4 linked regions of the Cricetulus griseus genome follow. The protein of the gene in region 1 interacts with the protein of each later gene in a pairwise test. Links are inferred from orthologs where the notes say so. Each region holds a gene or a part of one and is shown on either strand. Other genes may lie near its edges. The genes, in order: Ddx17, Wbp11, Rbm15 and Sf1.

The links.
Region 2: the proteins of Ddx17 (region 1) and Wbp11 interact in a two-hybrid assay, tested with the Homo sapiens proteins (3 studies listed by BioGRID and IntAct). The link is inferred for Cricetulus griseus from reciprocal best matches to the Homo sapiens genes DDX17 and WBP11.
Region 3: the proteins of Ddx17 (region 1) and Rbm15 interact in binary tests that used the Homo sapiens proteins (3 or more experiments, as listed by UniProt). The link is inferred for Cricetulus griseus from reciprocal best matches to the Homo sapiens genes DDX17 and RBM15.
Region 4: the proteins of Ddx17 (region 1) and Sf1 interact in binary tests that used the Homo sapiens proteins (3 or more experiments, as listed by UniProt). The link is inferred for Cricetulus griseus from reciprocal best matches to the Homo sapiens genes DDX17 and SF1.

The regions. Positions count from the first base shown.
Region 1 is NC_048595.1:376,706,539-376,713,840, forward strand, and holds part of Ddx17 (probable ATP-dependent RNA helicase DDX17), read right to left. Parts: intron 7,170-7,302; coding exon 7,070-7,169; intron 6,199-7,069; coding exon 6,065-6,198; intron 5,502-6,064; coding exon 5,436-5,501; intron 3,326-5,435; coding exon 3,184-3,325; intron 2,833-3,183; coding exon 2,672-2,832; intron 2,582-2,671; coding exon 2,409-2,581; intron 1,174-2,408; coding exon 1,063-1,173; intron 681-1,062; coding exon 619-680; intron 1-618. UniProt on the Homo sapiens protein: As an RNA helicase, unwinds RNA and alters RNA structures through ATP binding and hydrolysis.
Region 2 is NC_048601.1:12,196,546-12,204,484, reverse strand, and holds the start of Wbp11 (WW domain-binding protein 11), read right to left. Parts: upstream 4,060-7,939; 5' UTR 3,894-4,059; intron 1,925-3,893; 5' UTR 1,868-1,924; coding exon 1,804-1,867; intron 1,291-1,803; coding exon 1,259-1,290; intron 151-1,258; coding exon 57-150; intron 1-56. Other genes in the region: Smco3 (single-pass membrane and coiled-coil domain-containing protein 3), read right to left, coding at 6,548-7,225. UniProt on the Homo sapiens protein: Activates pre-mRNA splicing. May inhibit PP1 phosphatase activity.
Region 3 is NW_023276806.1:49,809,928-49,817,959, forward strand, and holds the start of Rbm15 (RNA-binding protein 15), read left to right. Parts: upstream 1-3,915; 5' UTR 3,916-4,824; coding exon 4,825-7,684; intron 7,685-8,032. UniProt on the Homo sapiens protein: RNA-binding protein that acts as a key regulator of N6-methyladenosine (m6A) methylation of RNAs, thereby regulating different processes, such as hematopoietic cell homeostasis, alternative splicing of mRNAs and X chromosome inactivation mediated by Xist RNA.
Region 4 is NC_048596.1:52,982,073-52,989,374, forward strand, and holds part of Sf1 (splicing factor 1), read right to left. Parts: intron 6,699-7,302; coding exon 6,623-6,698; intron 3,754-6,622; coding exon 3,601-3,753; intron 3,418-3,600; coding exon 3,328-3,417; intron 2,872-3,327; coding exon 2,688-2,871; intron 2,597-2,687; coding exon 2,481-2,596; intron 2,379-2,480; coding exon 2,271-2,378; intron 1,501-2,270; coding exon 1,320-1,500; intron 1,061-1,319; coding exon 787-1,060; coding exon of another isoform or gene 783-786; intron 502-782; coding exon 442-501; intron 341-441; coding exon 161-340; intron 1-160. UniProt on the Homo sapiens protein: Necessary for the ATP-dependent first step of spliceosome assembly. Binds to the intron branch point sequence (BPS) 5'-UACUAAC-3' of the pre-mRNA. May act as transcription repressor.

The sequences.
Region 1 (7,302 bases):
TATATAACTATGAACTTTAAAGAACTCTGGAGATGTACTGAAAATGCCCAGGGTTCAATTAACTAAAATTAGGCTAGGTGAACTTTGATCTACAAATACAATCTAGTATAATACTTTTGCAAACAAAACTGCTTGGGGAACACAGCCAGGCCAGTTCTGTCTATGACCACTTGTTTTTGTGTAGAAATCACCCAACCCATTATTTGATGAACAAAGCCCCAGATAATCTATTATCTGGTTCTTTATAAACAGGGGGTGGGCTGGGCAGTGGTGGCACATGCCTTTAATCCCAGCAGTTGGGAGGCAAAGGCAGGCAGATATCTGTGAGTTTAGACCAGCCTGGTCTACAGAGCCAGTGCCAAAATAGGGTTCAAAGCTACACAGAGAAACCCTGCTACACACACACACACACACACACACACACACACACACACACACACACACACACACACAGAGGGAGGACAAATAGGTGTCAAAAAACTATTGTGCTAGGCACAGAAGAATACATTTTTAATCCTAGCAACATCTAGGAGGCAGAGACAGATGGATTTCTGTGAGTTCAAGGGCAGCCTGATCTATAGCAAGATCCTATCTCAAAATGCTTTGTCTTATTCTTACCATTAAGTACCCAATCTCTTTCTGGTTGACTCTTGTCTCCATGGATACACATAGCTGGCCAACTATCAGAAGAAAATTACATATTAGAAATCTTTACAAAAGTCTTAGTACTCAATTTTGATCAAGTTCTTTAAGCTACATAATAGTTATACATACACATCAGGCTAAAATACCATACATACATACATGTTCTAAACCATTGCTACAACCCTTTAATACAGTTCCTGTGGTGACCCCCCAGCATAAAATTATTTCATTGATACTCCATTAACTAACTTTGCTACTGTTATGAATCATAATGTAAATATCTGGTATGAAGGATATCTTATATGCAACCACTGTGTGAAAGGGTTGTCTGACACTTCCCCTGGCCCACACACATAAAGATCATGACCTATAGGTTGAGAAACACTTGACATAAAGCTACCTATGTGCTGTACTCACCCATCTCTGCGCATCCTTCGAGTGAGGTCATCACAGCGTCTCTTTGTCTCCACAAATATTATAGTCTTATTTTCTTTTTCTGCCATGATTTCCTCCATCAGTTGGATCAATCTGAAAAGACCAAACAATGCAGCCTCACACAGTAAAAGTCCTTCCTGTACATCAAACACAGATGCTATTAACTCCCAAAGTTTAGATTGTGGTGGAACATGCCTATAATACCAGTATCACTTGGGAGGCTGAAGCAGAATGGAGAATTCAAGAGGGAACCTCAGCTACATAACAAGAACCTTCTCTTCCAAAAGAAGATCTCAAATCTAACTTTGTTTTTCAAGGGGTCATAGTGTAGCCCTAGCTGTCCTGGAACTCACTCTGTAGATCAGGCTGGCCTCTGGGATTAATTAAAGGTCTGCACCACCACACCCAGCCTGGTCACAGATACTTTAATCTACATCTAGTATTTTTTAAGAAAAAAATAATTCAGTAACTGAAGGGATTAATGTTTTTGCTGCTCTTACAGAGGGGACGGACACTGGCTGTGGACATGCACTATGGGTGGCTCACAACCATCTATAATTCTAGCCCCAGGGGATCCCAATTCTTTTCTTGCCTTTATGAGCATGGCGCAGGAACACAAACAAAAACTGTGGTTACAATATTTGACCAGTATGCATGATGCCCTGGGTTGAATCCCCAACAACACATAAAGTGTGGTGGCATATGCCAGCCAGCACATGGGAGGCAGCTCTAAGCCATCTTGTCACACCTCGAGCTCCAGGACTGCCAAAGATACATACACGTTTCACACACATAAATAAAATCAAATTCCAACTAATCCACACTAGATTCAAGCAAATCTGATTTGATACTATTCCTATCTCAAAAATCAGACAAGGAGGCAATGAGAAGTAAACCTTAAACCTGCCTTAAAACTATACAGCTGGCATTTAAAAAGCCTGGATTCAACTCCAAGGATCCAAGATCATTGCGCATTTAACTACAATGCGCCAATGAATGACACACAAAGGATGTGTTCAACCTAAAAAAACCCTGGCATTTTAGCTCTGGTATAGTACAGCTTGTAATTCTAGCAATTTAGAGGCTGAGAAGGAGGACCATGAGTTTGAGGGCAACCTTAGGATATCTAGTGCAGCCCTGTCTCAAAAATAATTCAAACTGCCAGACGTTAGTGGCACATGCCTTTAGTCCTACCACTCAGGAGGCAGACGCAGGCGAATCCCTGTGAGCTTGAGGCCAGCCTGGTTTACAAAACTACACAGAGAAACCCTGTCTCGAAAAACCATTAAAAAAACAAACAAACAAGATAATGAAGTATTCTTTCATACTTGTGATCTTTTTCACTTTCCATACAGACATCCACAATCTGCAAGATGTTGTGGTTGGCACTCAACTCCAGATTGCCCACATTGATCTGGGTGTAATCACGCAGGAAGTCCTCTGCAAGCTGCCTTACTTCCTTTGGCCAGGTTGCACTCCACATCAGTGTCTGCCGGTCAGGCTATCAGGAAATGAAGGTTTTCCTTTATATTAAGGAACTATATGACAGGCAAAAAGGTAAAAATATTAATGAAGTATCAGCTTTACGAACCCTGATTTGGTCAACAATTTTACGGATCTGGGGCTCAAAGCCCATATCAAGCATTCGGTCAGCTTCATCCAACACAAGGTAAGTACACCTGCGAAGGTTTGTCTTTCCTGACTCCAGAAAATCTATTAGGCGCCCAGGAGTGGCTATGCAAATCTCAACACCTGGAAAAAAAAATTAAAGATATAGCCCATGAAGAACCCTTTCTTATAAACTATCCAAACCTCAGTAAACAGAAACTAAGACCCAACAGCCCTGGTAGCTGCATCCACTGTCACAGCAGCTGTTAAACCTACAGTATCTGAAGAGCATGACGTAAGGAGACTTCACAAGAGTAGGTTAAGGATCTCCAGCCACCAGCTGCTCTCCACAAAGTAGCTAACAGAACTGCATCCCAAGAATTTCTACACTACTGAAAATACTGAATTTCCTTACAAGAACCCATTTTGCTCAATTTTATTTACAAGAATTGGCAAAGAATAAAAACAATTTTTTTTTTTTTTTTTTTTTTTTACCTCTCTCCAAGTCTCGAATCTGGGGACCTTTAGGAGCACCTCCATAAATGCATGTACTCTTCAACCTAGAACACTTTCCATAATCATCAGCCACCTGCTGCACCTGCTGAGCAAGTTCTCTAGTAGGAGCCAGCACTAAACACTGAAACAAAGTGGGGGGGAAGCAAATAAACTTGAGACAACCACTCCAAGTTTAACAAAAAACAAACAAACAAAACCAAAAAAACAAAAACCCCAATAACCCTAAGAACCAAAAGGTAGTCTAATTCCCCCTTATTGTCCAATAAAGAGGATCTTATATACTCTCTAGCCTTTAGCTATGTAGCTGAGGAAGACCTTGAAGTTCCTTCTGACCCTCCTGTTTCTACCTAACTAGTACAGAATTAAAGACATGCACTATCACACTTAGTTTTGTATTACCTACTTTTAACCTTACAAGATGAACAATCAGCATAAAACATATCCATGTGTCGCTGGGCGGTGGTGGCCTACGCCTTTAATCCCAGCACTCGGGAGGCAGAGGCAGGTGGATCTCTGCTGTCAGATTGAGACCAGCCTGGTTTACAAAGCAAATTCAGAGACATTCAGGGCTGTTACAGAGAAACACTGTGTGTGTGGGGCGACGGCTCAGGAATGACACAAGACAATTCATGCAACAAAATTATAAATACCAGCAGGGAATACAGATAAAAGTTAAGCTTGGAGAGATGCCTCAATAGTTAAGAACATTGGCTGCTCTCTACTGTCTGTGACTCCAGTTCTGGAGGATCTTACACTCTCACTCACAGACATACATGCAGGCAAAACACAATGCACATAAAATTAAACGAAGGAAAAAAAAAAAAAAAAAAAGGCCAGGCGGTGGTGGTGGCACATGCCTTTACTCCACTGAGTTCAAGGCTAGCCTGGTCTACAGAGTTCCAGGACTGGCTCTAAAGCTAGACAGTGAAACACTGTCTTGAACCCGCCCCCCCAAAGGCTGGAGACATGGCTCATGGGTTAAGAGCACACTGGCAAGTAAGGATGCTTGCATCAGACAGGGACATGGTGGTATGCACCTATAATCCCAGCACAGAAGGGCAGAGAAAGGATGATCTCTGAGCCTATTCTACATAAAAAAAAAAAAAAAGAAGCTTGCCCAAGTTTGAAAACTTGAACTGAGACCCACATGATGGGAAGACTTGACCCTAACAAGTTGACCCCCTGACTTGCACAGAATATGGTGGCATGTACCTGCTCCCTACAGAAAAATAACCAAAACTAATAAAAATGAGCAACCCAGCATTGTGTTTGCAGCTGTGGATATAGGCCAGTGGTTAAATACTTACCTATACCATGCATCAGGCCCTAAGTTCAACCCCCAGTACAAAAAACAAACCCTAAAACAAAGGCTTGTACTTGAATTGTTGCAAAGATTGGTTCAAAGGCTAGGTACAAGGAAGCAGAGTTTCTTAGCACACACAAGGGCACAAGTTAACTACCCAGAATCACAAACAGGAAAGACGAAGAATGCCTCAAATTCACACTGTCATTTCATGGCTGTGTAACTTTGGGTAAGTTATTTAATTCCAAGTAAGATGGCCAGTACCAAGCAGGGCAGTGGTGGTACATGCCCAATTTAATCCCTGCACTTGGGAGGCAGAGGCAGAGTTTGAGACCCAGCCTGGTCTACAAAAGCGAGTTCCAGGAAACCCTGCCTCAAAAAGCAAAAAACAAAACAACAACAACAAAAAAAGGATGGGCTAGAGCCACTTCTACATACGGAGAAAAGGGTTAAGAATTAAATTGGGGCAGGGGCTGGAGAGATGATTCAGTGGTTAAGAGCACTGGCCCTATATCCAGAGTACTTAGGTTCAATTCCTAACAACCACACTGTATATAACAACTGTCTGTAACTCCACTTCCAGGGGATTAAATGCCCTCTTCTGGTCTCCATGGCACCAAACACTCCCCAACCCCCGGGGAAAACACCCATAAACGTTTTTTTTTTTGTTTTTTGAAGATAGGGTTTCTCTGCGCAGCTTTGGAGTCTATCCTGGCACTTGCTCTGGAGACCAGGCTGGCTTTGAACTCACAGAGATCTGCCTGCCTCTGCCTCCCAAGTGCTGGGATTAAAGGCATGCACCACCAACACCCGGCTCCATAATTTTTTTTTTAAAAAAGTAATTAAATTGGGTTTTAGGCACAGTGCCTAAAACAACTTATCATTCAATGTAGTTATTTTTAAAAATTATAAATTGTAGCACACTTACAATTGGACCATCTCCTCTTTCCAAGTATGGCTGGTGGTTTATATGAACAATCGCAGGCAGCAAATACTGAGGAGGAACAAGAATCAAAAATGTCATAAAAACCCAAGCCATTATCGTAACGATTCTAATTTAAATCAGTAATTAACAATGCCCTAATAGAAAGTGAGAAAACTAGAACATATTACCACATTCAAGTACAATGTAAACATACAGCTAAAATACTGAACATATAGTATTTTATTTTTTGGCCTTCTTGGGACAGTGTCTAACTATGTAGCTCTGGCTACCCTGGAACTTCACTGCATAGATCAAACTGGCTTCCAACTCAAAGGTCCATCTGCCTGTCTCTGCCTCCCAAGTACAGTCATTAAAGGTGTGCCCCACCATGCCCAGCTTTCACACAGTATTTTAACTGTGAGTCTAAGAACTGAGAAAATGTGAGCTGGGTATGATAGCTTACAACTTTAATCCCAGCCCTTGGGAGGCAGTAGGGACAGGCAGTTCTCTGGTTGGAGCTACCCGGTGAAACCCTATGGGGGGATGGGGGCGGGCAACATGGGACCAGAGAAAATGTAAGAAAACTAGGCTAATAAAGTAAGTTACTACAATGTCAAAGACTTGGTACCTACCGCCAATGTCTTCCCAGAACCAGTCTGTGCAATGCCAACCATATCCCGGCCACTAAGAGCCAAAGGAAATCCCTGGCACTGAATGGGAGTTGGTTCTGTAAAATGCTGATCCATCAGCACATCCATCACATACTCTGAAAAAAAGTGAATGCATTATTACTTTTACTAGCAAAACTAAGGACACTCATGAAGTCTTAAAAGTAGCAGTTAAGACTAGCAGTGGTGACACATACCTTTGGTCTTGAAATCCAAAAAAGTGGCAGTTACTTAATTTAAGACTTACTTGAATTTATCAAAAACTCAATGTCTTGTCAGTTCACTACTACCTTTGAGAACTACCATCCTAATTTAGCTAACAGCACAGGCCCAAGAGTCACTTACTGTTCCCAAAGTTCATACTATATCATAGAAGCAGTATTTGGCTGCTGTGTAAAACACCAAGGGCAAAATACCAGTGTACGTATTGGCATTAAAAGAAATGCAGAAACTGGGTAGTGGTGAAGCACACCAGCATTTGGGAGGCAGAGACAGGTGATCTCTTTTGAGTTCAAAGCCAGAGCTGTTACACAGAGAAACCCTGTCTCAAAAACAAAACAAAACAAGCCCAAAGCTGAGATGGCTCAGCTGTCAATAGTTCTTGCAGAATGAGTTTGTGAAGATCGGAGGAGAGCTTGGTGGAGCGGGCTTTCTCCTTTCTTGTTTATATGGGTTCCAAAGTCAGGACTTTCACCAATTGAGCCATTCTCATTCACACACACCCCACCCCCACCCCATTGGTTTCTCTGTGTAGCCCTGGATGTCCTGGAACTCACTCTGTAGACCAGGCTGGCCTCAAACTCAGGAGATCTGCCTGCTAAGTGCTAGAATTAAAGGTGTGAGCAATCACCGTCTGTCTACTACTATCTTTCCTTTATAAAAGGTTTCTTTTTGTGTTTCAACAAAATCCCAAGCCTTTCAAAACCTTCAAGCAACCTACCACTTAATGTAGGATTAAAGAACACTTACGTGGGAAATTAGCATGATGGAAGGCAAAGACAGGTTTTGGACAAACATCTCCCCCTCTCACTGTAATCTCTTTCTTTCGCCGCAGCTCATCAACTTCATACTATTGGGGGGGGGGGGGAAGAAAGACAATAAAAGCTCTTTTCAATTTAAAAGCTTTATTATCACACAATGATAAATATGAATACTTTTTACACAAGTTCAAGTTTGTGATGCACATGAGCAAAAGGCTCCAT
Region 2 (7,939 bases), on another chromosome or scaffold:
TTGGGGACCACACTATTATAGCTGTTAATAAATCTGGCCTTTTCATATACTCTTACCCATTTCATCCAATTTCTCCATGTCCCGGATAATCTGTTTGGGATCTTTCATCTTCAAAACCGCAGCTCGGACCATCATTCGTTGTTTTTTGTTCTTAGAAAAACAAAAGAGAAGACTACTAAGAGGCTGGATGCTCAGGACATTATTACTTCAATTTGCCTCAAGAATCTAAATCATTTCACATTTTCCTTTGGTTTCAAATCATGTTTAAACCACCAGGAACAGTTATGAGATTTCTTGTTCTCAACAATGTGTGGACATTGCTAAAAAGGTATGCTTTCACAGAAAGTATTTCTTTCAACCCAGTTAGACTGTTAGCAACTACCACAGGAACAACTTTTTTAAAAACAAAAAACAAAGGGCTGCTGTTAAATTAAAAAAAAAAAAAATACAATGCTGGATAGGGATATTTTTGAAAGACTCGAGAGCATACCAGAGATTATAAAAGCCCTGAATGCATTGAAGAGTGATACCAAATGTTTACCCCTCTAATTACTCTGTCAAAATTCAATAGCTAATTAGATACACAAAGATATCCACCAACACATTTATTGGCATTCATTCAATAGCTTTTAACAAAGCAGCTACATTTTGGTACATGGTAAAAATAATTACTTTCTCAAGACAGGGTCTGATGTAGCCCAGGCTGGCCTTGAACTCCTGATACTCTTGTCTCTGATCTCCACATCCCAAGTGCTGAGATTACAGGAGTGTGCTACCACAATCATCTTAAGAATTATTTCTAAAAGGCATTTTTAAATATAATTTTATATATGGGCGTGTTTGTGTGAATGTGTAGGCATGTGCTTATGAGTTCTTGTGGAGATCAGAATAGGGTGTTGGATTCCTGGGAGATGGAGGAACAGATGGCTGTGAGCCACCCAACATGGATGCCGGGGATGGAACTCTCAGATCCTCTGCAAGAGCAGTACGTGAAGCTATCCACTGAGCCATTACTCCGGCCCCCAACGAATTCTTTTTTTTTTTTTTTTAAACTTATGAGGCAGGAGAATTACATAAACAGTGTCAAACAAGCACTATGAATGGAATGTCCAAAGTTTTATCAGTCATATCAGTTTTTAAACATAGTAAACTGTCTGGTTTTCATGAGAAGTATAAAGCATCTTTTCTAGCATATAATTTACATGTTATTATCATTCATGAATCTCAATCAATATACAGAATGTGTCTGAATTCATACCTTCTTCAATTCTCTTTTCCGGGCTTCCTTTCCTAAAGAGAGGGAAAGAGACCATATACCTCAAATCTTCAACATTAACATTACCACAAGACAGCACACACTTTTTTCTTCTGAGGCTCCCCTATGCAACACCTGGATATGCACTGGCATCGGTGGCTTCGACCTGCAGACAACTGCACAACTGCAGCACTTCTAACCCTAAGAACTCCAGATGCTAAAATGTTTCTTTTCACAGAAATAACTGAACCAATGAGAAAAAGAGATTCTCAAATACCAAACTAGCGCTTAAAACTCATTTGTTTAAAAATTCCAACACAAAAAGAAAAACAATCCAATTTTATCCTGCAAGCCAACAAAGCTTGACAAGAACATGGTTTTAACTGATGTACACTCTCAACATTTTAGTCATGTGAGTTAATTTTAAGAATTCAACATGACTTCACACAACTCCCTTCTACCAATGCTGAACTTGCTTAAGCCTCGGGGAAATATTCTTTGCAGTTTTTAACTCTTCAACGTCATCATTTCACACTAATGGCACTTACGAGCTTGGTCTGTGGGGTTCATAAACTTCCCACTCTTGGTGGAGGATGTTGATCTCCGTCCCATGTTGACAATTTATATGATTTACTTCTTCATTAAAGAAACAAAACAAAAAAACGAAACCTGGAAAAAGAAAAGAACTCAGTTTTCCTGTATGTTTAACATGTCTTCCTTTTTAGAATTCCCATCAATTTCTGGAAATACCCCTCTGATTATTAATTTTGTAAGAACTTGTTCTTTGCCGGACGTTGGTGGCACATGCCTTTAATCCCAGCACTTGAGAGGCAGAGGCAGGTGGATCTCTGTGAGTTCGAAGCCAGCTTGGTTTCCAGAGCAAAGGCCAGGATAGGCTCCAAAGCTACACAGAGAAACCTTGTCTCGAAAAAAAACAAACAAACAAAAAACAAAACAAAACAAAAAAAGAACTTGCTCTTTAATTTTGAACATATAATATGGCTTTACCTTTCTTCATCACAGAAAAGCTAACATCTGTACAGTCAAGGCAACGAGACACATGAACTCTCCACATTTAACACTCTGCTATGGATTATGTAGCACTGTCAACTGAAAAAAAATTCAACTAGGAGTTTGCACTTGGAATGTGGACTGGGCCATAAAAGACTATCTCAAAACAAAACCCAACTAGAAAATGTTTTAATAATGTGATACAAACCTGGAGTGTAAGAAGTCAACAGTTCATTTCCTACACCCTTCCCCCTTTATATATAAGGTGAAGTCAAAGAGAAGTAGTGATAATGACTCTAGGCTCAAAGACAAATATATGTTCTCTACTTTTCTCCTTGGCATAGGCACTGTTCATTCAAAACCCCACAGATGGTAAAAGGTAATTAATTTAAACATACTTAATTTAGACTCAATACCAAGTCAAATATGACTCATGACTTTCAAGCAAAAAAAAAATGAATAGAACTTCCCAATCTTAATATTAACATACATACTTTTCTTACTAACACATATGACTCTTGATTTATTTTAAGGTAACTAAAAGTGGCAGGTCACTGTAGGAAAATAATTTCAAAGCTTGTATTAGTATCAGTTCTTCTATTCAAAATGGATGAATGTTAACTTTAAAATTTAACCTTTCCAATAATACAGTAAAGAAATGTTAGCCGTTGAAACGATGTGACATTTGGCTACAGGTATTCCCCCTTTGCACACCCAACCAGTCGACTTTCTTTCTTAAAAAAGACACCTTTGAAGGTAGGGAATAGGTAGATCCCGAGACAACTTTAACAGACTCCCACAATTGTAATTCCCTTGGCTCCTCTGTGAAGACTTCGTAGGGTTTTTTTTCTGTTTGTTTTGTTTTGTTTTTCTTTCTAGTTAATGCTTCTCTCACCAAGGGATCAACTGCCCGGAGACTATTTCACTATAAAAACGTTTCGTTATCCGAAAAGAGGAGGGGCAGGATGATGGGGAGAGGAAGGGAAAAGAAGGGCATTGATTATAGAGAACTAGAAGAAAGGAAGAAAGGAAGGAAGGAAGAAAGCAAGCAAGCAGGCACGGATACAGACTTCTATAGCTTTCTATTTTATATATTCGGGTTCACCTTTTGACCTTTTTTTTAATTTTTCTTTGCCCCCTCCCACAACTGAAAACACGGCAGCCGCGAGCCGCTGAGAATTTTTCCGAGACCGCACGGTCTTGGTCTACAAGCGCGACTCTCGTCAGCGCAGGGGCGCCCGGGAGAGGACGGGGCCGCGGGCCCCCGACAGCGCAGGAGCCGGGGCCGCTCGCCCGCCCGCTGGCCCGCTCGCCCGCAGGCCGCCGCCGCCGCAACCGCCGAAACCATGGCGACGGTTGATACCGACTCGAGCGGCCGCACGTCAAGCCAAGCGGCCGGCCGCCGCCAACGGGAAGCGGACCAACGCAGCGGGCGGGCCGCGCCCGGCCGAGCGCCCGTCGGCCGCCGCAGCACCCCGGCCCCGGAGCCCTCCCGCCCGCGGCTCCCGCGACCCCGGCCCGGCCCGGCGGGGGGAAGAGCGCGGCCCCCGGCGCTGGGGTCTGAAGCGGCTGCGCGGGCCCCGGAGGCCGTGGCGGGAGCCGCAGCGTCGCGACCGCGCACACTTACGCCACTGCGGGGCTCCCGGGTCGGCCAGGCCGGGTAGCGGGCGGTGCCGGCGTGCTTTGGGCGGCGGGGCCTTCACCTCTGCCTCTCGGTCAACCACCCAGCCACCGCCATCTTGAAACCTCGCGCCCCTCCGCCATCCTCGCGTCACTTCCGGCACCCGCGGCCGACGCTCTCACCGCGTTGCCCAGGCCCGGGGACTATCGAGAGGACACAGCGTCGTCGGGGCCAGAGTTGCTTCCGCTCCGATCCCACGTCCGATTGGCTGTCTGTCGGCCAAGAACGCCACCCCCTCCCCCGCCCCCGCCCCCTCCCGCCTCACTCCGAAGCGTCGTAGATTGACACTGGTGTCGCCCAATGAGAACCAAAGAGGGAAGGTGCCCGTTGATTGGCCGATCGCTTTACCCCGCTCGGAATTCTGACGCGGTTTCCGTTCTGCGCAGACGTCAGGTAGCGGCGCGTCGCCCGGGCGGAGCCGCGTGTTGCTTGGTTTCTGTCCCCCGCGGTGTGCTGGGGTGTGACTGGGTGCTGTCCTTCGGGAAAGCCTCCGCGGGGAGACAAGTTCCCGGATGGACGCCACGGGCGCCGAGTTTAAAGCGCCCGGCGCTCCCGGAAACCCAGCCTGTGCCGCGCCGAGCACAAAAGTCATTTCCTAGCGAGAGTCACTCATTTGTCATCTACACACGGGAAACAAAAATGTCCTGGGAGAGAAACCGGGTGCGCGCCGCAGATGTCCCCGGAGAAGGCGGCACGTGACGCTCCCGCTCCGGGGCTGCTCGTCCTTTGTGATGTCACTGCACCCACGGAATGATTTCCCCGTCGTCTGCGTCCTTCCTCTCCCTTCACACCCCGACCCTTAAGAGCCTCCCCACCCTCTCTTTCCCCCTTCAAGGAGAGACACTGGCTATGAGATCTCCGTAAAGCGCGCGCGTGGTGGTTTTTCAGCTTCATCTGAGGACCCTGCGCAGACAAAAGTTATAAGAGGGATTTTTTGACATCAGGTATTTCACAGCTATTGGTAGAGGCGTCTGCCCATGGGTAGAATGTTTTACGTTGTGGCCCCGGACGCTGTGGCATCAGTCGCATACTTAGTCTAAGCTTTGTTGCGGCCCAAAGAAAAAGTTAAATTTTGAGACAGGCCCCTTAGGAATCCCCGACTTGCTTATTCCATCAGTAGACCTCCATCTCCCCATCCTTCTGCCTCGTTGTCTTGACTGATGAAGTTAACGGGCATGAGCCATCACACACCTGGGTGTCGTATTAAAAATCCCTGGTGTCTTCTTAAATTTGATTACTCTGTGAGTGTCAGCAATAGCAAGATCTAATGGTTCAAAACTTACAAATCAGGTAGTAATAATAATAATAGTGAAAAACCCTGAAGGTGACCCAAGTTGTGAGAAGTTGAAACTAATTCATAAAAGCAGCGATTACAAAAAAAAAAAAAAAGTACATTTGAAAGAGTCATGTGGCTAGTTAAAATTTTTCATCTACTTGTAAGATTTTTGACAGATACTGAGTATTTTATTTCAACAACTTTTTTTTTGTACTCAAAAAAACAAAGCAACTATAACAAGGACATTCTCAGCATTAGCAGTATAATAATTAAGCCGGGCGTTGGTGGCACACGTCTTTAATCCCAGCACTCCGGAGGCAGAGGCAGGTGGGTCTCTGTGAGTTCGAGACCAGCCAGATCTACAAGAGTGCGTTCCAGGACAGCCTCCAAAGCCACAGAGAAACCCTGTCTCGAAAAACCAAACCAAACCAAACCAAACCAAACAAACAAACAAAAAACCAGTATAATAATTTTCAAAGTAGACCCTAAAAAATGGCTCAATGGGAATTGTTAGTTGAAGGATTTAGAAAACAAATGCTGTGTCTACAGAAATTAAGTTGTATCCATAGGCCTCCATTAGCCTCTGGCTGTTTCTGAAATTGGGTGGTAAATGACAAATTCCTAAAAGGTACAGTCTTCTTCCTTACCCTAGTATGTTTTATGCATGGATATCTGGGGTTTATTTCTTGTGTGTGTGTGTGTGTTTGTGTGTGTGTTTAATGTTCCAGAGTGTTCTGCTGCTGAAGCGATAGACATTTGGTCAATGTCAATTGCATCATAGAAACAAGTTTTATTATTTTATCCTTTCCCAAATCCATCCATTCACACTTTGTAATTAGTAGAAGCTCACAGATCCATTGTCTCCTTTTATTCTTGAAGAAAATGTTGTTTGCAGTCATTTCCAGTTTACAGACAATTGGATTTTACCTAGTGGTAAAAATATGTAAGTATTTCTAGGTCATTGGAAGGTCACAGGTGTTTGTCTCATTAGACCTAAGCGATGTTTGAAACGGGTGATAGGAATGGCCTCTGCTTTATACAGGATGTTTGAGGACATTGATTGGGAACAAGGAAATAATTCCCTATCTGCTGCTCTGTGATGTCTTTCTACCACATAGTTACGACAGCAGGGGAAGAAAACTCCCAGACAGAGACTTATCCCTTGAGGGTCCAGTAAAACCGAGGGTCACAGAAGCCGAGCATTCCAAACCATTGGCTGTATCCCTGTCCACATCAGAGGCATATGGCAATGAAACTAGTTAAACAAAGGAGCATCGAGGTGGAGAGGGAGACACAGAGCTATGCCCGTGGTGGGTTCATGACTTCATCTTATCTGGCGCGTCACGGCTCTGGTGACCTCAGTGATGGCATGGTGGTACCTTTCTGAGGCTGCCTTAAACTCCACTAGATGCTTCTCATAACTTTTGATGGCTGCTTGAAGCTGCGACCTCTCCACTGCTCCCAGGATGGCACGAAAGATTATATCTATGCCAAGACCAAGCACAGCAACTCCAATGCTACCAAGGAGAGACGTCCCGATGTGAGCTAGCACAGTGACCAGCTTGTTCATTATGCCGGTTGTGACATTTGAGCCCAGGAGTTTAACAGCCACCGCACTGGCGGCAGATGTTGCTTCCCCCAGGATGACAGAAATGACCTTTTGCACAATTGCCATCTTCTCCGTCTCCCTCTCCTTAATATCCTGAAGTTTCCTATAAAGGGTTGGCTCTAGTTTGTCTTTCAGTGCCTCGTCCACCTTTTGCAGTTCCTTTTGGATTTTTACCACGGCTTGGATAATGATGTCACAGTTTTCTTTGATAGTTCCATCTCTTTTCATTTCAATGAAGGCCAGCCTACAGCCCAAGTGGGTGTTCAGAACCCCGGTCAGCTTGTTGGTGACCTGGAAGCTGTCAGACAAACAGTCCAGGAGCTGCTGGTGAAGACGGTTCACTTCCTGCCGCCTCCTTGGGTTTTCTGGGTAGAGGAAGTCACTCTGAGCCATATTTCAGCTACAGTTTCTGAAAAATTAAACGGGAATTGTCACAGAGTACTTGTATGAGACTCTACTCAGGAGGCCTTCAGAGTAGCCACAGCTAAACGCTTTCTCTGAGAACTCATCAGGGTTGACGTGTTTGAGACAGGATCTCACGTAGCCCAGAGTAGGTATGAATTCTGATCCTCCAGCCTCAGCCTCCCATGAGCTGTGATTCCAGGCCTGTGCCCCCTGCCTGGTATATTCGATGCTGGGGTCCAAACCCAGAGCTTGATGAATTCAGCTCAAGCTTTCTACAAACTGAGCTGAATCCTCACCCATCAGAGGTTAGCTCCAGGCTACCATTCCTTCTTTCCCCATCCCTAGCCACTGCACTAAATGTGTGTCTACCAGGTGTATTTCCCAGGTGTCTAGAGTTAATAGTATAAAGACCTCTGGGTTTACAGCAACACTGATAGAAATTTAGTATGTATGTATTTGATAGTTTAAAATATTCCACACCAGGGTAGGTGAGATGGCTTAGTGGGTACCAGTGCTTGCTTTATGAACCTGAAAACCTGAGTTTGGTCCCTGGGACCCACATGATAGAGAACTGGCTCTTGCAAGGTGTCCTCTGAGTTATACACACCTAATGTGGCATTCACATACCTACCCATAACTACCTCACCCCTTCCCAATAAATAGTTTCAAAATTTAAAAAGGGAAATAAAATATTATCACCAT
Region 3 (8,032 bases), on another chromosome or scaffold:
TGTGTCAAATAAAACAAACCTCATTGTCAAGAGTCCACTCATTTTACTTTAGGAGATGAGACAGAAAATTTTAATCTACTATTATGGAAGGGAAAAAATGTTCAGTCCTAAGCTTTAGTTCTGTTTGCATATAACAGAGCTTCAACTTCTAAGTTCATATTGCAGTCATAATTATGTGTGCATTGAGGATTTGTTTCAGTTGTGCATAAATTTCTGGTTTTTTTCATGTTTAAAACTGACTTTAAAGGAGGTGGAAAAAACACTTTATAGAGAACTAGTAGCAACTTTTCCTTAAGGCATTGAGTAGTATAACTCCAATGGGCCAACACTTAGGCAAAAGTGGGCCAACTCTGAAGCTTTTCCTCAATACTATTTCTTGGGTTTTGGCAGAACACTAAAGGAACAGATTGACTGATGTACTACTATGGTGCTAGGGGAATTTGTTGGTAGCTTAATTCTGGTCATAAATATTGAAAGATTCTCCTCATGGACCTGGCCAGGGATCACTTGGAGACAGGAAGAAAGCTTGGATTGCATCTCAACAACTCCACTGACAACACCCAAAGAAGAATTCCAAGTCCTTGCTCTTTAAGCCATATGTCACTGTTGTCCTTTCTCAGCCCTCTGCAAAACACATGTGTAAATACAGGGGGCTAAAACCTCACTGGCATAGCTTCATGCTTCAAAGAACACAAAGGAAATGAAAATTATATAAATCACCTAATCACAGCATGGTTTCTAAATGATTGCTTTCTATTTCAGTGAACATTATTTTAAAGTCAAATACACGCAGAATAAAAAGATTACACTTTTAAGAAGCATGTGTGTGCCTCTTAGGTCATTACCTTGTTCTGTCATGGGCAAACATATGTAATAAGCTATATTTTGACTCTTGCTGGTGATGGCTGTTAACTTTAAACTTACCAGTCTTTTTGGTCCAGAAAGGCTACGGGTTTCCTTAGGAAGCCTTCTTACCATTGTCAGATGTGGAAAAGTTCTACCAAACGACAACCCACTAATCCTGGCATGCTTCAAGCACCATCACACATATTGTCCCTTTTCATCTCCTTCAGTTTTTTTTTTTCTTAGTTCTAGTGCTCTTAAAACTCCTACACTGATTGGTCCTTATCTTTCCTTTGGATCAGTGAGTCATTTATGTTAATCAATGTAGGCTAAAAATAGTCACTTCTCCCTAGGCAATGTGGCACATGCCTTTAATCCCAGCATTTGGGAGGCAGAGGCAGGCGGATCTCTGTGAGTTCGAGACCAGCCTTGTCTACAAGAGCTAGTTCCAGGACAGCCTCCAAAGCCACAGAGAAACCCTGTCTCAAAAAAAAAAAAAAAAAAGCCAAAAAAAAAAAAGTCACTTCTCAGTTTTTCTGGATTGGCTATTACAGTAATCAGGCAAAGGCTTAACTTCAATTCCCTTTTTGTAGTATGCATATAATCTTGAGATAGATTAGCACACCTCTGAAAAGCTTTTTCATTATGTAGGAATGATGGATTCTACATCTGAGGCAGAAACTGTATCAAGTATGCATGGAACAAAATAATGGAGCAGGGAAGAATAGGAATAGGATTGTAGATTTAAAGAAAACGATTGACATGATCTTACAATTGTTGAGACTGTGTGCTCAGCAGATAGGATGGTCTTCAAAATATATTCTACTACTGAAGGGACTAGCTTCCCTTTCGGCAGCCATAACAGCCGAATATATGCTTGCCATAACTTGCCTTGGTCACTTAGAGGTCAGATGCCTTCCTTGTGACAAGGAATCAATCAGAAGTTAGCTGGTGGCGCTATGCTTTACGACCCTGCGTGTGTGCTTTACGGACAAGTGCACAGCAATGACCCACAAAGCATAGCAACCACCCTGGGAGGGCCTATGGGCCATAACAACCAGTTGACCAATCAACACAGGGCAAGCCGAGCTGTCTTTTTCTAGCCATCCGCCATGGCGGGTGGGTAAAAGACCCCAGCTAACATGGGGTTAGCTCATTAAATTACAATAAAGCCTCATGCAGTTTGCAGCATGCTCTCGGATCTGCCTGGTGATTGGGGTGACCGAAGCCCCGGATACCTGAGTTTTCCGGGGATCTAACACTACTGTATATTTTTAAACCAAAATTATACAAGGAAAATTTTCATTTATAATATCAAAAGTCCCTTGCTAATTCCAGATCCTCAGCTCTGTCTCTGAGAGCAATCTCTGTAACTATCAATTAAAAATACAAGCATATAGCCGGGCATTGGTGGCGCACGCCTTTAATTCCCAGCACTCGAGAGGCAGAGGCAGGTGGATCTCTGTGAGTTCGAGGCCAGCCTGGTCTCCAGAGCAAGTGCGCCAGGATAGGCTCCAAAGCTACACAGAGAAACCCTGTCTGGAAAAACCAAAAAGAAAAAAAAATACAAGCATATGTATATGATACACATACAATGTTAAAAAACACAATTGGTAGTTTATCATACACATTTTTCTCTGACTGGTGGTATTTTATGTTAACAGCCTTTTAAAAAATTATTTTTGCCGGCCTGGAGAGATGGCCCAGGGGTTAAAATTACTTGCTGTTTTAAAATTACTTGCAGTTTGTTCCCCAGGGCTCAGGTTGACTCACAATTCTGGGATCTTCCGGGGATCTGTCACTCTCTTTTCGCTTCTCTGGACACCAGAATACTAGCATACATGCAAACACACACATACATACAAGCACGCACGTGTGTGGTCTCAATATATAGTCCTAGTTGATCTAGAACTCACTATGTAGACTAAACTGGCCTTGAACTCACAGACATCTTCCTGTGCCTGCCTTTCAAGTGCTGGGATTAAATGAGTACATCATGTCCTGCTAAAAAAAATAGTCTTTTGTTGTTGTCATTTTGTTTTTTTTCTGTTTTTCTGAGAAGGGAGGGTTTCTCTGTGTAACAGCCCTAGCTGGAACTCGCTTTGTAGATAAGGTGGCCTTCAACAGAGAGACCCATCCATCTGCCTCTACCTCCTGAGTGCTGGGGTTAAAGGTATGAGCCACCTTGCCTGGAAAAAAATAAGACTTTAAAACCCATTTTTTCCCCCAAGTACTGGGGCTTGAATCTAGAGCTTCATACATGGTGCCCAAGTCTCCAGACTTCTTTTGTGTGTGAGTGGTTTTGAGGTTTTCAGGCTAATGAGCTGGGATTACAGCTATTCCACAATGCCCCACAAGAGTTATTTTTAATACAAGTATATCTGTGCATTACAGTATTTGGAGGTTTATAGTTAACATATTGATTGGGCTTCTTCTTTCAAATCCCTTTGATGTGATCAAGAAATTTTGGCCGGAATGTTCTTGGGGAGACTGCAGGAAGCCTATTTCTCTTCACCAGAAGGCAAATGCCAGTGCAACAGACTACCCGTCTAGTCTCATGATCCAACAGTATTGCACAAATTTACCCAACACACAATAAAGGTACCTGGATGGTGTACCGGGAGTTGAGAAGTGGATCATGATTAAAAGACTTAAAGAGGTGGGCCTAGGGAGGTAGCAAAGTGCCCGTGTTCCTGGATCCTAGTAGGAATTAATCGGGAGTGCTGCGGCACAAGAAACCAGAGAAAGTGTCAAGTGTCCGCACAGCGAGAAGCGTTACATATTAAAGGTAAGCACAGCGATATCACGTTCCATGGCTTTTACAAATGCAAACCCTACAGGGATTCACAACCTAAAACAGGCGCCAGGGAAGGTCTGCAGTGGCCCGCAGGTCGGACCAGTAGGCCTGGAGGCTGTGAACACAGGTCACCGCGAGCCCTGGGGCGGCCACGTCTCCGGGGCGCCGTTTCCTATGTCCGCGGGTGGGCGGGCAGAGACTCGGTACCGCCCAGGGCGTCAGCGTGACCCGAGGCTCAGTGAACCCTGAACTCGCCGCCCCGGCCAGCTGCACAGACCCGGGCAGGCGCTTTCTCGCGCACGGGGGTGGGGCTTTTCCAGGCTGCTAACTAAGATGGTGTCGGCTGGACTTCCCGGGACAGCTGCCTAAGGGGATCGAGGGCCAGCAGCCGGAGGGACCACCCGGCCCACTGTCCGGCCCAGACAGCACCGACCGTGCGGAGCCTGCGGGTTCCAGACTCGAAGGACCGAAGCACAGCCAAGTACGCCGTAGGACCTAACAAATGTTTAAGAGAACGCCGAAAGCGCGGGGAGGCGGGCCCGACTCGCTGTCACCGTCTCGCGACAGCTAAGTGACGTCGCACGGCAAGCGCGTGTTCTAGTCTTTCACCTTCAGACGCCTCGGTTTGTGGGCCTACTCCTTTAAGTAAGTGATGGACAGCGCTGTTACCCTATCAGCTTCCTCGCCAACGTCCAATCAGATTTAAACTTCCTCCGGCCGCCGGAGAAGTTGGAAGACTGGGGTCGAAAGGGAGCGAGCGGGCGAGCGAGCTCTTTGTGTCTCGCGAGATCGGGAGAGCCAAGTTTTCAGAAAAAAACGCCAGAACCGAAGTCCGTACTTCCCAAGGAGTGGTTTAAAGGACGTGGCCACGGACCAATGAGAGGAAAGAGGAGGTGGGACCACTGCTTTCGCCGTGCTAGAAGTACCGTTACAGGGCAGACTTTTTGTCCAATCAACGACTCGAGGCTTCGGGTCAGGTGACCGTGAAGTGCGAGGGGCGGAGCTACGGCTGGCGCGAGGAACCGTTAAGATAGACAACGAATATAACCAATGAGGTACGCGGATTAGGGCGTTGGGAACCCAATAACAGCGTCGAGGCGGGCGCCTTCCCGGAGCGCGGGGAGATGTAAAGACGGACAAATAGTTTTTCCAATGAGAAGGCTGAAGAGTGAATTAATTGACCAATGAGGTCTGCGGGGCGGGAGCCTTTGCCGCGGCGGAGTCCAAGATGGCGGCGTGCGAGTCCGCTGTGTGAAACGAGCGCGGGGTGGCGGGTTAGTCAGCTCCGCAGAGACGACCTCCGGCGACCCTCAACAATGAAAGGAAAGGAGCGCTCGCCGGTGAAGCCCAAACGCTCCCGCGGCGGTGAGGACTCCAGTTCTCGTGGGGAGCGGAGCAAGAAGTTAGGGGGCTCTGGCGGCAGCAATGGGAGCAGCAGCGGGAAGACGGACAGCGGCGGGTCGCGGCGGAGCCTTCACCTGGATAAGTCCAGCAGCCGAGGTGGCAGCCGCGAGTATGACACCGGTGGGGGCAGCTCCAGCAGCCGCCTGCATAGTTACAGCTCCCCGAGCACCAAAAATTCCTCAGGCGGGGGCGAGTCGCGCAGCAGCTCCCGGGGTGGAGGCGGGGAGTCACGTTCCTCTGGGGCCGCCTCCTCAGCGCCTGGCGGCGGGGACGGAGTGGAGTACAAGACCCTGAAGATAAGCGAGTTGGGGTCCCAGCTGAGCGACGAGGCGGTGGAGGACGGCCTGTTTCACGAGTTCAAACGCTTCGGTGATGTAAGTGTCAAGATCAGTCACCTCTCGGGTTCTGGCAGCGGGGATGAGCGGGTAGCCTTTGTGAACTTCCGGAGGCCAGAGGACGCGAGGGCGGCCAAGCATGCCAGAGGCCGCCTGGTGCTCTATGACCGGCCTCTGAAGATAGAAGCCGTGTACGTGAGCCGGCGCCGCAGCCGCTCCCCGTTAGACAAAGATACTTACCCTCCGTCGTCCAGCGTGGTCGGAACCTCTGTCGGTAGCCACAGGCACGCCCCTGGAGGAGGTGGAGGTCAGAGATCACTTTCCCCTGGCGGTGCTGCTTTGGGATACAGAGACTACCGGTTGCAGCAGTTGGCTCTTGGCCGCCTGCCGCCTCCACCCCCACCACCATTGCCCCGAGAGCTGGAAAGAGAACGAGACTACCCGTTCTATGACCGAGTGCGCCCAGCTTATAGTCTTGAGCCAAGGGTGGGAGCTGGAGCAGGTGCTGCTCCTTTCCGAGAAGTGGATGAGATCTCGCCCGAGGATGATCAGCGTGCTAACCGGACACTTTTCTTGGGCAACTTAGACATCACTGTGACAGAAAATGATCTAAGAAGGGCTTTTGATCGTTTCGGAGTCATCACAGAAGTGGACATTAAGAGGCCTTCTCGTGGACAGACCAGTACCTATGGTTTTCTCAAATTTGAGAACCTAGACATGTCTCACAGGGCCAAACTAGCAATGTCTGGCAAAATTATAATTCGGAATCCAATCAAGATTGGTTATGGTAAAGCCACACCCACCACCCGACTTTGGGTGGGTGGCCTGGGACCTTGGGTGCCTCTTGCTGCCCTGGCACGAGAATTTGATCGATTTGGCACCATACGAACCATTGACTACCGAAAAGGTGATAGTTGGGCATATATACAGTATGAAAGCTTGGATGCAGCTCATGCTGCCTGGACCCATATGCGTGGATTCCCACTCGGTGGCCCAGATCGTCGCCTTAGAGTAGACTTTGCAGACACAGAGCATCGTTACCAGCAGCAGTATCTTCAGCCTCTGCCCTTGACTCATTATGAACTAGTGACAGATACTTTTGGGCATCGAGCGCCTGACCCTTTGAGGAGTGCTCGGGATAGGACGCCACCCTTACTATACAGAGATCGTGATCGGGACCTTTATACTGATTCTGATTGGGTGCCACCCCCACCACCAGTTCGAGAACGCAGTGCTCGTGCTGCAGCTAGTGCTGTGACTGCTTATGAGCCACTGGATAGCTTGGATCGAAGGAGGGATGGCTGGTCATTGGACAGGGACAGAGGTGATCGGGATTTGCCTAGCAGCAGGGACCAGCCAAGGAAGAGAAGGCTGCCTGAAGAAAGTGGAGGACGGCATCTGGATAGATCACCTGAGAGTGACCGGCCACGAAAACGTCATTGCACTCCTTCTCCTGACCGAAGTCCAGAACTGAGCAGTAACAGAGATCGCTACAACAGTGACAACGATCGATCTTCTCGTCTTCTTTTGGAAAGGCCCTCTCCAATCAGAGATAGACGGGGCAGTTTGGAGAAGAGCCAGAGTGACAAGCGAGACCGTAAAAACTCTGCATCAGCTGAACGGGATAGGAAGCACCGGACAGCTGCTCCCACAGAGGGAAAAAACCCTCTGAAAAAGGAAGAACGTTCTGATGGCAATGCACCCAGTGCCAGCGCGTCATCATCAAAGCAGAAAGCTCCTTCCCAGAAACAGGATGGAGGGACAGCTCCTGTGGCAGCATCCTCTCCCAAACTCTGTTTGGCTTGGCAGGGCATGCTTCTACTGAAGAACAGCAACTTCCCTTCCAACATGCATCTATTGCAGGGTGACCTCCAAGTTGCTAGCAGTCTACTTGTGGAGGGTTCAACTGGAGGCAAAGTAGCCCAGCTCAAGATCACTCAGCGTCTCCGTTTGGACCAGCCCAAGTTGGATGAAGTAACTCGTCGCATCAAAGTGGCAGGGCCCAATGGTTATGCCATACTTCTGGCTGTACCTGGAAGTTCTGACAGCCGATCCTCCTCTTCGTCAGCTACATCAGACACTGCCACCTCTACACAGAGGCCACTTAGGAACCTTGTGTCCTATTTAAAGCAAAAGCAGGCAGCTGGGGTGATCAGCCTCCCTGTGGGGGGCAACAAAGACAAGGAGAACACAGGGGTTCTTCATGCCTTCCCACCTTGTGAGTTCTCTCAGCAGTTCCTGGATTCCCCTGCCAAGGCACTGGCCAAATCTGAAGAAGATTACCTGGTCATGATCATTGTTCGTGGTGCGTCCTAAAGTCCATGTGTAACTTGTATTTACTATTTTGACATGGTTCCTTGTTTTGTGATATGTAATGGGATACAGCATCAGATAAATTTCTTTCAATTAGTTTAGTTGGTTTTTTTATATATATATTTTTGTAAACCTCCTTAAAATAGATATTGGGGCGATTTAGCTATTATTTTAAGTGAAAGGGATGCCCTGAAGGTAGCAAGAGGATGGATTTGCTTTAATTAGGAATTACTTTTCTTTTTCTTCTGGTATTTTTTTTTTCAGTCTCTTGAGTTTAAAAAAAAATCCTCAAAATGATAAAACCTACAACTTTTAGAATCATAATTTGGAGGAAAGAGCC
Region 4 (7,302 bases), on another chromosome or scaffold:
TTGGGCCAAGTAGCCTGGCTTTCCACCCCACTGCCTTTGCTGAGACCATAGTCTCTTCACCCAAGGTGTCTCCAGCCCATGTAAGATATTAGGTTTTTTTTTCCTCTCAGCCCCAGCCCACATCCCACCCACCCCCAAAAGCCCAAAATATTCCACTCACTTTGCTGCCATGGCAAGGGGGTGCTGGAAGCCATACTGCTGCTGGGCGGAGGGGGTGGTGGAGGCTGCTGCTGCTGCTGCTGCCATGGAGGAAGAGGACCAGAGGGAGGAGGCGGGGGCTGCCCACTGGGAGGTGGCGGAGGCGGCGGCATCATGCCCATAGGCGGTGGCGGCATCATACCTGTAGGCAAACATGAGTTAGGCTTTAGAGAATTGGAGACCCAGGCTAGAGCCTCCATTTACTTTTAGCCTTAGACAGAAATCCCGAGTAAATAGCATTACCTTTTCCTTGATGCAGGCGATAGACCCCAGAGCCCACAGGCGTACTTCCCAGGTACTGATCTTGATGGAAGGAAAGAGCAGGGACTTAGCAGGACATTTGAACTGGCCAGGCAAGACACCCCCAATAGCTTTCTCAGTTACAAAGCTTTGAGTCTTTAACCTCCCAAAAGTTCTGCTGTAACAATGTGTAAGCCTTCCCACATAGAAGGTACTCTATAAGCCGAGGCCTCAGCATGATTCAGAGCACTGGCTAGCCATTCAGCATTGCTTACAGCTCAGAGTCACTTGGTATGAGCCTATCCATCCCCCACAAACCCCAAGGTTTCTGGTCTGACACTTACTTACCCATTGGAGGAGGGCCATGGTGTCCGGGTGGGTGGGGGCCCTGGTTCATCGGTGGTGGTGGTGGCTGCATCCAAGGTGGTGGTGGTCCATTTGGGTTGTGCTGCATGGGATGTCCACCATGCCCACCTGTCAGGCTGGGTAATGGGTGTGGGAAGCTGTGGGGCCCACCTCCAGGCCCACCAGGACCACCTCCATGCATGCCATGGTAGGGCCGATTCTCTGAAGGACCAGAATTCATCCAGGGTGGGCGACTCTGCGTTGTAGACATAAGAGACTACATGAGAGCATTTCCTGCCAATGTCCATGCCTGCTCCCCCTGGTGGCAACATTGTTCTTCTGACTATGTCCCGAGACCAGAACACAAGCACAGGATTCTCCCACAGTGAGACCCCACAAAGGCCTGACATCCCAGAAGAACAATGTTGCCAGCTACATTCACCTCTAAGCTTTACCCCAGATCTTTGGCCAAAGCTCCTAGTCTCTTTGCAGAAGAGAATGGGGGAGCTAGACCAGAGAATTGTCCCAGGGCTCACCGGTGGTGGTGGGTTGCTGGCAGGAGCAGCAGGTCTTGGTGCACTGGCCAGGGGTGTGGTGGCAGGTCCAGAGGTGGAGCCCACAGATGCAGGGACAGGAGCTTCCCCTAGCTCAGCCATAAGAGACAAATATTCTTTATCCATTCGTGCTTTATCCTGGGCTGACTGAGGGTCGCCAGGCCTAAGGTAGGGTTGGAAACACAAAGAAAGGAGAAAATAATCAAGAAAGCTCTATTTCAATCAAGGATGTTGCCCTCTTTTCTAGCCCTTCACTGGAAATGGTTCTCCACTGTCAGCCACAGTCCAGGCCCTAGGTTAGAAGTGACCAACCACCATTCCAGACCCTCACCTCTCATGTTTTACCAAACCCTACCTCCATGGGCTGGAGAGATGGGTTAAGAGCACTTACTGCTATTGCAAAGAACCTGGGTTCAATTTCCAATACCTACATGGCAGCTCACAACTGCCCCTAACTTCAGATCTAAGTAAGGGATCTAAAAATCTCTTCTAATCTCCACAACCACTACAGTATAGACATACATGCATAAGAAAAACCCAGTCTAAAAAATACAAAAATTCTACCTCTATCTTCCCTGTTTGAGAGAAAAGGAATTTTTATGCAAGACCTAGAAAAACAAACTATATCCATCTCCCCCTAAAAAGGGCCATATGGAAATAAAACCCACTGGTCTTAACAAATCTTAAGCAGTGAACACTCATTAATATTGTACCCAACAGATACATAGCCAGAGTGTAAGCTTCTGGACAAGACAACAGGAGGCTCTACAAGTTTCTTCTACTCAAGACCCTTAAGTTTAAAATTCACACCACCCAGCCACATCCACAGAAAGGATGCTGCTTTAGTAAGACTAACCACAGCCAGTATGGAAAGGAGAATCCTGAAGACCACTGGGCTGCTAGGGAGCCATTTCAACAGCAGCCAGATCTCACCTCTGAAATTTGCAATCGGAAGCAATATGGCCGGCCCCTCCACACTTGGTACACACAGTAGTATTGGTAATGCTGCGTGTTTCTGAGCTCTGCCAAGGTCTTAAGATCCTGTTGAGGTAGAGAGATCAATTCAAAGACCTGTAGAGACCACCTTTCCACTTCAAAATGTTCTTGAGATTTCTAGGAAGTCTTCTCAACATTATCACTGACCTGTTATCATCTTCCCGTAGAGTGCCATTCAAGCGAGCCAACTCTCGAAGCTGCATCTTCCGTAGATCATTCTGGTCTTCTGGGGTCTCAATACCCTGCTTCAGGATGTTTCTGATCTATTAAGAAACACCAGCAGTTAGTTGTCAAGCGCCTGGGGCCATCACCTAGGTTTCCAGCAAGAAGCCTCCTCCTGGGCTCACCACACACCTGTTCTACTGCCTTTTTGACATTCTCCATTGTATTGGCAGTGACCAGAGCATGAAGAGGTTCATCCTCTCCGGGCAACATCTGACCATCTTTGCGCCCAACTTTCCCTTCTTTCACAGATCCTTTCCCCCGTATCATGATCTTGGCATTGCATTCCTTCTCAATGTTCTTCAGGGTGTTCCCTCTGAAAAGCAGAAAAGAGTGTTAGACATTCAGTGCAAATTCTTATTTCAGATTAAAAACACTGGGCTGAGTAGTCATTGGTAGCAAACTGCAAAATGCAGAGCACCAAGATTTCCCCACCAAGGACTCCACATTAAAGCTGGGTGTTCGTGACGCATGCTTTTAATCTCAGCACTCAGGAGGCAGAGGCAGGTGATCTCTATGAGTTAGAGACCAGCCTGGTCTACAAGAGCTAGTTCCAGGACAGCCTCCAAAAACCAAAAAAGAATACCACATTAAGGTCAGCATTTCAGGATTTTACTTCACCACAGAAAATGGAGGTGTGTGTGTGTGTGTGTGTGTGTAGATCAAATTTAAGGCATAATTCAGCCAAAACATCACACCAAAACCCAAACACAATAAAAATCTCAAACCTTGAAGATAAGTCAATGAGTGCCATGGACTAGTAATTACTCACCTGGGCCCAATTAAGAGACCCACAAAATTGATTTCTGGATACTCATCTTGGGGAATCATTACTTTATCGCTCACACGTGTTGCTGGAGGCCTGAGAAAGAAAAGACCATCACCATTTCAATTTCTGGGAGGTGGTACACAATTAATCAAGAATATACCATGTGAGAATTAAGGATAATATGGCCAAAAGGTAAGTAGTAAGCCAGAATCGTCCCAGCAGATCACGTATGATCCGAATGTGCCCTTGTCCCAAACCACCTGTGACTCTGCTTACTTGTAATCTGCAGGTGGTTTAAAGTCTGGGTTGAGGGCGACCATCTCTGTGATGAGGGTGTGTCGCTCCTCTTCAAGCTTTTTGCGTGTACGGAACTCTCGAGTATTAAGCCGCTTCCCCTCACTGTTGTAGATTGGCTCAGGGGAAGGGGACCTGTGGGAGACAGATCCCCATTACTGCTCTGCCCCCAATTCCCCTTGCTCCCATATGTATGGACTATAACAAGTCTCCCCAGCCCTCTGCCTCTCAGATCCTAACAAAACTCTTCGGAGGAACCGACCATAACGTGTGCTATTCAAGATCGTGTGGAATGGGGGAGATGGAATCTGACTTAACATTAAGCAATGTAGGGTATATGTGAGAAAAGGAAAAATTCCTTCACTTCTAAAATTGACTGAGGAAGGGTCCATTAAAGGGAAACCTTTGGACCTTTACTGGCAAGAACAGTATCATCCTCTGGAGGCTTCTTGCCAAATGATCCTTTCATTTGAAAAAATTTATAACCCAACTTGATGAACCACAGAAACATGAGTATAGGTGAACTGTCTTATTAGGAAGAGCATCTGTACCCCTGCCACATAGTGAACACAAGCTCGTTCACCCAAAGCAGCTGGGACTCAAGCTATTACAGCTACTTAGCCCCCACAATGGAGAGAAATGGTGCAAGGCTTCGTCTCTGCTTTTCCTTCAATGGCCTGGCTGGCTGTTCGAGGTGGGGAGTCTGGGTAGAGAAAACCGTTAAAAGTGCTAAGGCAGCTTCTGCAAGAGGCTGCAAATGCAGATTTGGTCAAACACTTGTCTAGGGTCTGAACCTGCCAACAGCAAGGGGGATCTACAATTCTCCATCAGAGTTTACAAGTCCAGAAAGCAGAAATTTCTCTCTCATTTTTAAGGAGTAAAATGCTGACGCTACAAGTAAAAAATAAAAATAAAAAATATTATATATATATATATATATGTAATGATAAAATGGTCAGTTTACCACAGCTAGATTTTGCGGTAACAAAAAAGAGAAGTTAAACTCCTAGAATTCTGAGTTAAGATTACAAAAAGGACCATAGCTTGATACTCTGTATGAAAATTTAGTAGCAGCTGCAAGAAGGGAAGAGACCATGTGGATCAGGTTATTTTAAAAAACATCCTGAAAAGTAGTCCCGACTCCTACACCCTTGGTTTAGTTGAGAGAATTGTGCCTAGTTGGAGAGCAAGAACTGAATTCGGCTGCTCCCACTGTCTTCAGCCTAAAGGGAACCATGTCATACCAGGTTACACACACGATGGAATAAAAGGTCAGGTTTGTTCATGGCTAATGACGGCTAAATGACACCTCCGTTTCTAGCATCTGTATGAACTGTTAGCACAATCCAACCATAGTGAACACAAGCAAATATCCCCAGCTCATTAGACTATCATCTTACACATTTAAATCTACAACAGATCTTAAAACATTTTAATTGTGCAAGTTAAGCAACATCAAAATAGCAGAAAGTGGCTTAATTTTGAAATACAACTTCTTAAGAAATCATCTTAGTAAGGTAAGAAACTCATGTATTTCCCTCCAACCTGGGCTTAAAAGCAAAAGCAATCAGGCATTAGGGCCTCTTTCAAAATTGAGCATATATACAAGGAGGAAAATCCCTGCTCTGGTTTTACTCATTTCTAGCATGCCCACCCCATTTGCTATCTAGAATCGAAATGTTTCTGGCTAAATACCAAATTGTACCAGAACCAAACTGGCCTTTTAAAGGCTTAAACTTCATAACCATTTAACCTCTTCCCAAACTGTGGAAGTGAAAAGCAAAAGCTAGCAATCTAGAGGTTAGACTGGCCGGACTTCTTCACCTAGAAGAGGCATCAGAGACATCAACTGCACTCTAATCCCAGTTCTCCAGGAAGCAAACAAGGTTTGTTAAAAACTCAACCTTTGGAGGAATTGCCTGGTAACCTGTAGACATACCATTAAAGGGGAAAAGGCCAAAAAGGCACTAAACAGTTGTGGTCTATAACCTACAATGTAAATCTTTAAAAAATTAAAAAATAAAAATCTTCAAATCAAAAAATAAATATAAAATACAACTTTCCAATCAAAATCTACTTGTTAAAAAAATAACAAACTTGATAGGCACAAGATGAATATGGAGACATCATTAAGTTCATTTGTTTCATGGCAAGGGGCAGCAGAACTGTGTGCAACTTCTAAAGCCATTACCAGGATAACAAAAGCCAGAAACACTTTCAAAGCAATCTTTTCAACTATACTACATGCACTAAGAAGGATTTCAGTGGAAGTTCACTGTCAATTAAGTGACCAGACATTAGCTGTTCAAAGGTCTATCAGCCAATACAATTCCACTTAAAAAGTTCCTCTCTCACATGAACTTTAACTTTTCAGAGGCGAGAGAAATTATAAACTGAAATGGCATGACCACAGCTGTTTGAGGCCCACATTCCCTTTAAAAAAGGAAAAAGTAATTTAGGGGTTGGTTGCTTGCCTTTCCCTCCCAAAACCCGCAGGCAATGGCCAAGGCTGAAAATTAATTGGCAATGAAGGAAATTGGTTAGAAATCTCCTGATTTTAAAACAATCTCAAAACCACAAGCAGGTAAGACTTCAACAAGCTTGGCCTGCTCAAATTCAGTGATGGTTAAAAATACTCTCAAATCCCTGCATAATATACCATGAGAAAAACTTCCCCCTGTGCTTTCAGCCAAAGCAGCCAGTGAAAAGGCAGGTTAATGGCCACCCCTCTCTGTCCCTAGGGGTGGGTAAATTTTCAGGTTACAATCTACATGCTTACCAATTAGAAACCAGTTGTCCATTTTCCTTTAACTTATTCTCCCATTAAATACCATTCCAACTTTTCTAACTGTTGACTGAGCATACATTTTACTAAACCCTGGTCAGAATACCAGTCGTCTTAACTAGGATTTTATTGAACTGACACAATATGTTGCCACCAGTAAAAACATATTGAGAAAAAGGTAAAAGCGTTACTGTCAGCTGGTTAAAACTGTTTCCCAACCTGTCCTCAGGGTTAGGGGGGATGCCCAGGTCTCCTGTGCGCAGTTTACGAGTCAGGTCTTCTATCTGTAGTTGCACTGGAAGAAACCAGGTTAGGAAAGAAAAAAAAGGATGGAAAAAAGACAATGTTACCAAAAAACATCTCAAATCTCAATAACAAGCATGAAGAACTCGGAGACTTTGAAAGGGATGACTGATCAGTGACACACTGAGGCAAAAACCCCCAACCACCTAGCAGCAGGAGTCCATTTACATCTACAGTTAATTTTCACTTCAAAATGGTTATCACTTAAGGAAGCAAACAGTTTGTTGGAAGAGGGGTTAGCAGTTAAGACTGTTCACTACAGCTTACAATTGCAATTATCAGGAGGTAAATATTCACCTCTTCCCTTCCCCACCAACACTTGCTTACAACTGGCACCCTGAACCAACACCATTTAAGTTATCATCAGTACCTGGTTCCCACCAAACTCAGGGCAAGACTTGAGTTTCTATTTCTTCAATAAATATTAAACACAGCCCAAAACTACTCAATATGGGACAACAAAAAAATAGCATTTGAACAAAGACCATTTTCATTAAGACCAGGTTTGAAACTCTCTTTAAGCAAGCATTTAATAACCAATTCAACATTTTACAAATTCATACGTATACTTTCTGTATAAGCAGACTTGTACTGAG